2 linked regions of the Rattus norvegicus genome follow. Each later gene encodes a partner of the first gene's protein in a complex. Links are inferred from orthologs where the notes say so. Each region holds a gene or a part of one and is shown on either strand. Other genes may lie near its edges.

What was found.
Region 2: the proteins of Anxa11 (region 1) and Tardbp are in contact, whole or in part, in a cryo-EM structure (PDB 9FOR), measured with the Homo sapiens proteins. The link is inferred for Rattus norvegicus from reciprocal best matches to the Homo sapiens genes ANXA11 and TARDBP. Residues at the interface, in NP_001148.1 of Homo sapiens: Gly56, Met57, Ala59, Met61, Ser62, Gly63, Phe65, Asn69, Pro71, Asn72, Leu73; in NP_031401.1 of Homo sapiens: Ala328, Leu330, Ser332, Trp334, Gly335, Met337, Gly338, Met339, Ala341, Ser342, Gln343.

The regions. Positions count from the first base shown.
Region 1 is NC_086034.1:1,446,947-1,450,752, reverse strand, and holds part of Anxa11 (annexin A11), read right to left. Parts: intron 2,981-3,806; 5' UTR 2,973-2,980; coding exon 2,918-2,972; intron 1,695-2,917; coding exon 1,582-1,694; intron 1-1,581. UniProt on the Homo sapiens protein: Binds specifically to calcyclin in a calcium-dependent manner. Required for midbody formation and completion of the terminal phase of cytokinesis.
Region 2 is NC_086023.1:164,342,277-164,346,882, forward strand, and holds the start of Tardbp (TAR DNA-binding protein 43), read right to left. Parts: upstream 2,929-4,606; 5' UTR 2,816-2,928; intron 2,685-2,815; exon of another isoform or gene 2,172-2,684; intron 1,654-2,171; 5' UTR 1,640-1,653; coding exon 1,402-1,639; intron 1-1,401. UniProt on the Homo sapiens protein: RNA-binding protein that is involved in various steps of RNA biogenesis and processing.

The sequences.
Region 1 (3,806 bases):
CTGTGATGAGACAGGGTTTCTCTGTGTAGCCCTGGCTGTTCTGAAACTTGCTCTGTAGACCAGGCTGCCCTTGAACTCCCAAGTGCTAGAATTAAAAGGTGTGCACCACTACCGCCTGGCTCAGGGTCCCTTTCTAATCCCCACCTTAAGGTTCTCAGTCTACATCGCCCCACCAGCACCTCTGAACCTTCCTGTGTTACTGCGATCCAGTCCATCCCCTCCGCCCTGTGCTGGGGCTTGAGTGTATGGCCTTACACTCTAGGCAAGCATTCTACTACTGACCAGAACATCCCGCTCTCTTTCTGCTTCCTTCTTTCCTTTCCTTTTCTACTCCTTATTTTGAGACAATGTCTAAGTTGCCCAGGCAGACCCTGAACCCACATCATAGCCCAAATAGGTCATGAACCTGGCATCCTCTTGCTCGGATTTCCAAGAAGCCATGGTCAGAGGCCTATGCCACCAGGGCCATGTATCTACTTTCCAATCTTCTTGCTCTCCTCTCCCTCTCTCATCCACCCCTGCCCTTCCTTTGATTCTTCTGTTTTCACCTGTCTCTCTATGCTGCCCAGTCTGAGCTGGAATTCTTCAGTCCTCATGAACTCATCTACCAAACGCTAGTTTGCCTCAGTGCCCAGAAGTGCCTGCCCCTGTTCCACATTGCCATCTGGTAGCTTCCACTATTTCCTGTCTCCTTGCTGCAGATGCTAAGTGTGCCTGGACTGAGATGTGTGTGTGTGTGTGTGTGTGTGCGTGTGCGCGCGCGCGCGCAGATACACATGGAGGCAGAAGTCCACCTCTGTGGGCACAGCATGTGTCACTGGCCCTGGGATCCCATGTAGGCTAGATTGGCTAGTCAGCAAGTCCAATGGATCTGCCAGTCTCTGCCTCCCTAGCACTAGATTACAAGGAGCACATCCGGCACTGTATGCATGGGTCCTGGGAACTGCACTCTGGGCCTAATGCTGGCTTTACAAGCACTTTAGCCCCTGGGCTATCTCTCCAGCCCAGAGGTTTTGCTTACTGCATTCACATATTTCAGGCACCTAGAACGGAACACTGGCATAAGTTTGGGCCTCTACTAGTTGATTGCAGTGTTCCCCTAAACACATATTTGCTTTCAGATTACAAGATAACATCCTTTTAAAAAGCGAAACAACAAATAAAACCAAGTACACCCTAACCTACCTGCTACAGGCCACCAAGTACCAACCAGAACAGCTTTGTTCACCCCAACAGCCCTCCACCCATACACTCACCTCCTTGCAGGTTTCGCGCTCAGCTCATGAGAAATTCTCAATAAATTCTCAATAAATTCCCTGCAGGTACCAGCCTAACCCAATCCCCTCGGGCTACAAGGACCTAAGAGACCATCATTGACAAGAATCTCTACCCCTAATATAGATGGGGACAGGAGGGCCCAGAGCAGGGTGGGTGTTAAGTGACGACCCTCATATTCTAAGTTGCTGCTCAGGATTCTATGCCACAGAAACAGGTGTGAGGTCTCGCTGGGGGCTTGGGATAAGCAGCCTTGATCCCTAGAGCTTTGCAGCTACCAGCCCAGGGGTACCAGGGCTGACTTACCATGCCCGAGAGGTAGTCCTGGTTGAACTGCCCTGCATAGTTGGCCACGTTATCCAGCCCGATAGGGGGCATGCTGGGAGGAGGGTAGCTAGCACCTCCCCAGGGAGCACCACCTGAAAGCAACACCAAGCCATCCTCAGCTCTGCATTCCCGCCCCAGTGACAGGGCAGAAGGGCAGAAAAGAGGGCTGCAGAGGGGCTGCCTCGAAAACCAAGCAGAGCATCAAACCAATGTTATAAAGACCCAGAAAGACTTGAAGAAGAGGGTCAGGGGAAGCAGCAGAGGCTTTCCCTTATTCCGGGGAAGGAGGCAGCTTCCTCCCTGGTGGGGATTCAGCCATGCTTTGTCCTCACAAACCCAGCATCAAGGGCTGAGAGAACAGATCCATCCTTAGGCTCTGTGCTGAGCTGAGCACATGAGCTATGCACTCCATGTGCTAAGGATTCTCAGATGGAGGGAAATGGAGCCATATCAGAGGACGGGGACACCATAAAGGACAGTACCAAGGAGCAACCACATGGCTGGCTGCGTGTCCTGGGGCAAGGCTCTCTCTAAACTACTTTCACTCATGTCTGCAGAAGTGTGACCTCAAGCTGTGAAGGTAAGGGCTGAGGAGGAGTCTGTGACATGGTGTCACAGACACAGAGTTTCTGCTGGAGAGGGGACTGATGTCACTGCGGCCAGATCGGAGAAAGGTCCAGCTTGGCTCGATGTACCCTGTGACAATGGCTGAGGTACTTAACTTCCCTGCTCCGTTTGGTCATTTCTGCTGAGTTCTCTCAACAGTAACTATCCTTGCAGCAGCCCTTGTCTCCTTACCCAGAAGCCTTCACGGTTCCCTCACTACTGTGGAAGCCAAATGTTTTCAGGAAACATTTCAGGGCAGGGCAGGGCAGGGCAGGGCAGGGCAGGGCAGGGGAGTCTTCAGAAGGAAGATTAGCTGAGCCACTGCCTCAGATGGGTGGTCTCACCCTATGACCAGGGGATCCTGGAAGCCATAGGGAAGAGGTTACAGAAAAGAATAGCAACCCTTGGTATTGGCCTCAGTGGGAGACCCTGATGCTGCAAAAGTCAAAATCTTATTCCTTGAAACAGTGCGCTAGTAGCAATACTTTGGAAGACACTTCCTGTAGGTTGTCACTCCCTGTCTCTCCCCCTGGGAATAGCCAGGGGAGGGAAAGAATCTTGAAGCTTTTTTGCCAATGAGAAAGAGTCTTAGAGTATAGCAGGCCTTTGCCCACTTGTAGGTTACTAAAGGCCCTCCCAGAGTCAGCCAAATCTAGGCCTCTCCAGCCCCCAGTCCTTTTACACAAAGGGTCTCCCTGGGTCCCCTTACCTGGTGCACCTGGAGGGTAGCCACCAGCAGGTGGTGGGTAGCCTGGGTAGCTCATGGGTAAAGCTGGAAAAGAAGAGAGAGTGCATTCAGATTATGTTGAGGGAGCTTCCGACCAGGTCCACTGACGTCTGCTTCTTGGGATCAGAGTCCAAGGCTAGGCCCCTACAGAAGGGATTAGTCCCCCCCCTCCCCAGTCCACACCTCCCTGCTGGGCCTCCAGGTAGGTCAGGCCCACCCCAAGGCTACAGGAGGGTGCAATACCACAAGCCAGCTAGCTGCCCGATTCCTTGATATCTGCTTCCCCAGGCCTGGTTTCTGTCTCCACCGACAAGAGTGCAAAGTGGCTGGGGTCTGGTCTGCTCTCTGACATCATATTCTAGGTAGAGCATCACCCAAGACTCAGAGTCTACTTGGGCTTTATCCTGCCAAGGACCATGTTAGGACCCTGTTTCCCTGCATCCCACCCACAACCCTCAAGCTTGCCAGAATGCTATCCCACGTCCCCTCAGGTCAGACCCAAGCTGCAAGCATAGACTAGCTGTCACAGTCTTAAACGGCAGGTCTGTGTCTCTCCTGGGCACTCCCCTGACATAAAATAACATGATTATTGTGGGAGTCATCATTCTTAGAAACAAGAGATGCCGTCAGAAGGGCCTGGCTGCTATAGAGCCCTGAATCAGGGCAGGTACCAAAGCCTGAAGAAAGGAAGAGTTACCTGGAAATGGGGCTGTAAGGGAGAGAAATAGCCTAGGGAGGCAGATAGGACACCTGCTCTCACCGTACTCTGTACACAACTCTTCAACAATGTCCTATGTCAATTAAAATGCCCCAGAAGAACAAAGACCAGTCACTGCCCTGCAACCCACCTGCTCGCGCCACATAACAGCTG
Region 2 (4,606 bases), on another chromosome or scaffold:
CAATCCTTGTTTTAGCCCCAAATGTTGGGATTACAGGTACAGGAAGGACTGTTACAGTACCACCATAGTAAAAATAACCATTTACTAACTCACATGCATTCATATCCCAACCCCAACACAGGGTCTCTTTTGTAGTCCTGGCTGTCCTCAATTTCTGAGATCCACTTGTCTCTCTGCCCCCTTGAATGCTGGAATCAAAGATGTACACCACCAGACCCAGTTTTCTCATACTTTCAAGAATATCAGTAGTAAGAAACAGAGAAAATCTTTAGTTCTGTAGGAACTCAAAATTTGGGCTAGTGCAACTGATATTTTTTGAGGAGGGAAAAAAAGAGATTAAGAACACTGATGCTGGGGTTGGGGATTTAGCTCAGTGGTAGAGCGCTTGCCTAGTAACCGCAAGGCCCTGGGTTCGGTTCGGTCCCCCGCTCCGGGAAAAAAAGAAAAGAAAAAAAAAAAAAAAAAGAACACTGGTGCTGTTGCTCTTCTGAGGATCAGGGTTTGGATGTCAGCACCCACACAGTAGCTCACAACCATACAGCTTTAGCTTCAGAAGGTCGGATGTCATTCTGTATCAGGTACAGAGTGCCAAGGTGCACATACAACACAATGTTAATAAACATAAATCTTAAAATGATGAGACAAAGATGAGACAGCTGCAAGAAAAAGCCAGGCAGTGGTGACATCTTTAAACCCAGCACTTGGCAGATCTGAGTTCAAGGTCAACCTTAGCTATCAAGTTTAACCATGGAGAAATCCTGTTTTAAGAAACCAAAAAAGAGGGGTTGGGGATTTAGCTCAGTGATAGAGCGCTTGCCTAGGAAGCACAAGGCCCTGGGTTTGGTCCCCCTGGGTCGGGGGGGGGGGGGGGGGAGAGGAACTGGAGGGATAGCTCAGCTGTTAACATTGACTGCTCTTTTAGAGGTCTTGAGTTTAATTCCTAGCAACCACATGGTGGCTCAAACCATCTGTAATAGGCTCCCATGCCCTCTTCTGGTGTGTGAAGACAGAGACTGTGCTCACATATGTCTTAAAAAGAAAAAAGCCTCGAGGAAAACTGGCTAAGCCAAATTCTTTTACAAAACAGATCTTTAAGGCATTTAGTTTTAACCACCTAAAATTGGCAATGACTATGTTCTGATGGCTTAACATTTAAATAGATGCTCCTCAAAAAAGAATCCTGCTTTTCAATTTTCACTTATTTAGACTGCTGACCTGCCAGACTAGTCTAAGCAAAGTTTGTGAAAAGGGCAGGATCCTAGGGGACATTCTTCCAAGGAAGGCCAAACCCTCAGGGATTCTCCAGCAAACATGGATGCCCAGGTATTATAGCCTCACTTAGGATGGCATACATATCTAACCATAGCCAGTAATATGGCAAAACCAAAGTGATTAACCAACCTTTGGGATAGTTGACAACATAGACCAGATTGCCCCAGCCAGCATCTGGGGCATGCAGAATTCCTTCCACCAGTCGGACACCTCTCATACACTGAGACACTGGATTCCGGTAGCGCAGGCCACACGCCCCTGGAAACTGGGCTGTAACTGTGGACAGCAACACTGTCCCATCGTCTTCTGATGGTATTTCAATGGGCTCATCATTCTCATCTTCTGTTACCCGAATATATTCAGACATCTTTGCTTAAATCTCTTAAAGGAAAAAGAAATGATCAAGAATATCAGAGCAATTATCTTTTTTATACTTAGTTACTATCACACCACTTTATTTTTTTCCCATTTCCTGAAAAGAGCACCACCAAAAAATGTTTCGTCATCCCTGGGGGGGGGGGGGTGAGGTGATCGAGGAAAAAATGTTTTCTAAAACAAAAAAATGTGATTTTTGCCGAGCATAGTAACCCACACCTTTAACCTCAGCACTTTTGAAGCAGAGGCAGGAACATATTTTTGAGTTCGAAGCCAGCCTGGTTTACAGAGTTCCGGGGCGGTCAGGACTACACAGAGAAAGCCAGTGGTGGTGTGATGCTGCCCCCATCCCCCCACCCCCGCCACAGTTCACCCATTTTCTCAGGCCTTACTATATGCTTCCGGTGCTAAAGTTGCAACAGTGTTACCATGTGGCCTGTTGGTTACAAAGCCAGACAAAAACAAGGTGTTAAGAACTAAGTATCTGTCCCCATTTTTTCCCCACTGGCAAACACTGTTCTTACCTGGAGTGCACAGATTACAGTCTACAGTATTTTTCGACTATTCTGAACTCATTTCATTAATTCTAAAGCCTGAGAGCCTAAATCGGGCTTAGCACGTGCTTTAAGTGTAAGAAATTAGCAATGCATTCAATTGGCTAAATCTTGACCGTGCCGGTGGAGCACGAAAACCGACGTTCAGAACAGAGACCCCGCAGTTCTATTCCTCATTTTCGGAAAGGTCTGGCTAAACTTGGGCGTCAAGGGAGCAACGACTGATACTCCTTGAGGTAGGCCGCCACTTCCCAGAAGGCCATGCGCGACAGACAACGTTGATTTCTCCCCCACCCCCGCCCTTTCAACTAGGCCCCGGGTGGGGCCGCGTGGGTCCAAGTCCCATAGTGAAAACGGTTAATTCTCAAATGCGAGAACCTTTAAGGACTAGCACTGCTGGGGCGCCGGGGCCGCGACAGACTTCCGCCCGCGGCTTCACAGCCCAGCAGGCCCGGCGCCCCGCTCCGGCTGCCGCCCGCGCTAGGCCCTAACGACGCGGTGGCGCGAGGCCAACTAGGCCCCGCTCCATAGCTCCCTTCCAGCGGTGCAGGTCGTCTCAGGTCTCCCCAAAGCAGCGCCCGAAGCACGCAAGCCGTCCTCGGCGAGCAACTCACCCACTGGGCCGCTGCTAGGAAGCACAACGAAGGATCGAAGACGGAAAGGAACCCAACAACAGCCGAGCTACCGCTTCGTGCCCACAAAATGGCGCTAGGGCCGCCTCCCGCCCTCGCCCGCCTTCGGCCTCTCCCAATTGCTTCCTGTCAGGAGGGGAGCTCTCCGAGAGTCGCCAGAGACGCTCTATCCTCGACGCGGCTCGGATACTAGCAGGCCCTTCGGCGTGCAGAACAGAGGAAAATAATACAGGAGTGAGAGGGTCTAGATCCGAAATGCTGAAAAATGAAGAACAGTGTGGTCTCGTAGGCTTTACGTTCCCCCTACGTCACGTGGAAGATGGCTTCGCCCGACCAACCGCCGGCCCCAGTTGAAGAGCTCGCGCGCGCTGAAAATACGCGAGACTAGCGTAGGCCGGGACTGGAGCGTATGGGCGGGGCTAGGAGGGAAGGGGCGGAGCCAGGGGCCGGCTGGATGCCGAAGGGCTAGTGGGGCTCCCTGAGTACCCTGGGTTTTAGGTCTAAAGGTTAGCCTTCGATGTCTCCTGCCTTTGCTTGTTAATTTCCGACATAGAAGCATTAACTTTGGTCTACAAAATGGTCCCTGTCCTAGGTACTACTTTGTGCCAAGTACCCTTTAGCACGCTCCGGCTCTAGGGGGAAAAAACCCAGAATCTTGTGAATGGCAAACGAGTGTTCTACCATTGACCTTGGGCTTAGCCACCAAATGCTGTTTTAGAGACAAGGACCTCAAAGTCACTGTGTAACCCTTTAACTCGTCACGGCTCCTCCTCCCCCATCGTCAGGCTCCGGAGTGTTGATGTTGCCCTGGCAGACTGTGTGATATTCTTGATACTCTCCTCTTTCAACAAGGGAAGAAACTGAGGCACAGAATTAAGTATCTTGCATGAAATATCCGTGAGAAAGAGGTCCCACTAGGATGAATCCTACAGCAGAAAATATTGGGAGGTTTCCTTATTTCGGTTCCAGTAGACGAGTCCTAGTTTAACTCTGTAAGTCCTGTGTAACTCTGAGGGCTAGCTCTACCACCAAGCCCCAGCTGTAGACTCTTTAGCCAGGATTGAAACTAACTGGTGTATCAGATTCAAAGCTTAGCCGCAAAGGTTTACACAGTTGCTTTGTTTACTGAAACTGGGTCTTGCTGTACAGAACAGACTGGCCTTGAGCTTGCAGTGATTCTCCTGTCTCTGCCTCCTTTCCGGGGCGGGGCGGGAATTACAGATCATCATCGTGCCAAGCTGAGTCTTCCCACTTTAAATTTATAAATGAACTCATTTCCTCCTCACCGGTACCTTGCAAGAAGATGGCATTGCGAGAACAGGTATTAATGTCTGGCCTGGAACTCCCGTTATAGTCCAGGCTGGCCAGGAATTCCTGGACAAACAGTCCTGCCTCAACCATCTGAGTGCTGGGATTATAAGCACAAGTCCTTCCACCCAGTATTATTTATGTTTTGGTTTTGGACTTTTTAAAAACAGCATCTCTAAGTAGTCTTTGGCTGGCCTGGAACTTAATGTGTAGATGAGGCTGGCCTCAAATTTGCAATGCCTGTCCTGCATCTGCCCCTCCAGTGCTGGGATTGCGGGTGTGAGTCACCCAAATGGTTTTTTGTTTGTCTTCTAAGACAGGGTTTCATAGAGCAGAGGCTGGGCCTGACCTTCTGACCATCCCGTTCCACCTCCCAGGTACTGGGATTACAGCCTGTGCTACCATGCCTGGCAAATTCAAGAACTTTAACAACTTAGAACAATGGTTACCTTTTTATTTCGTTTG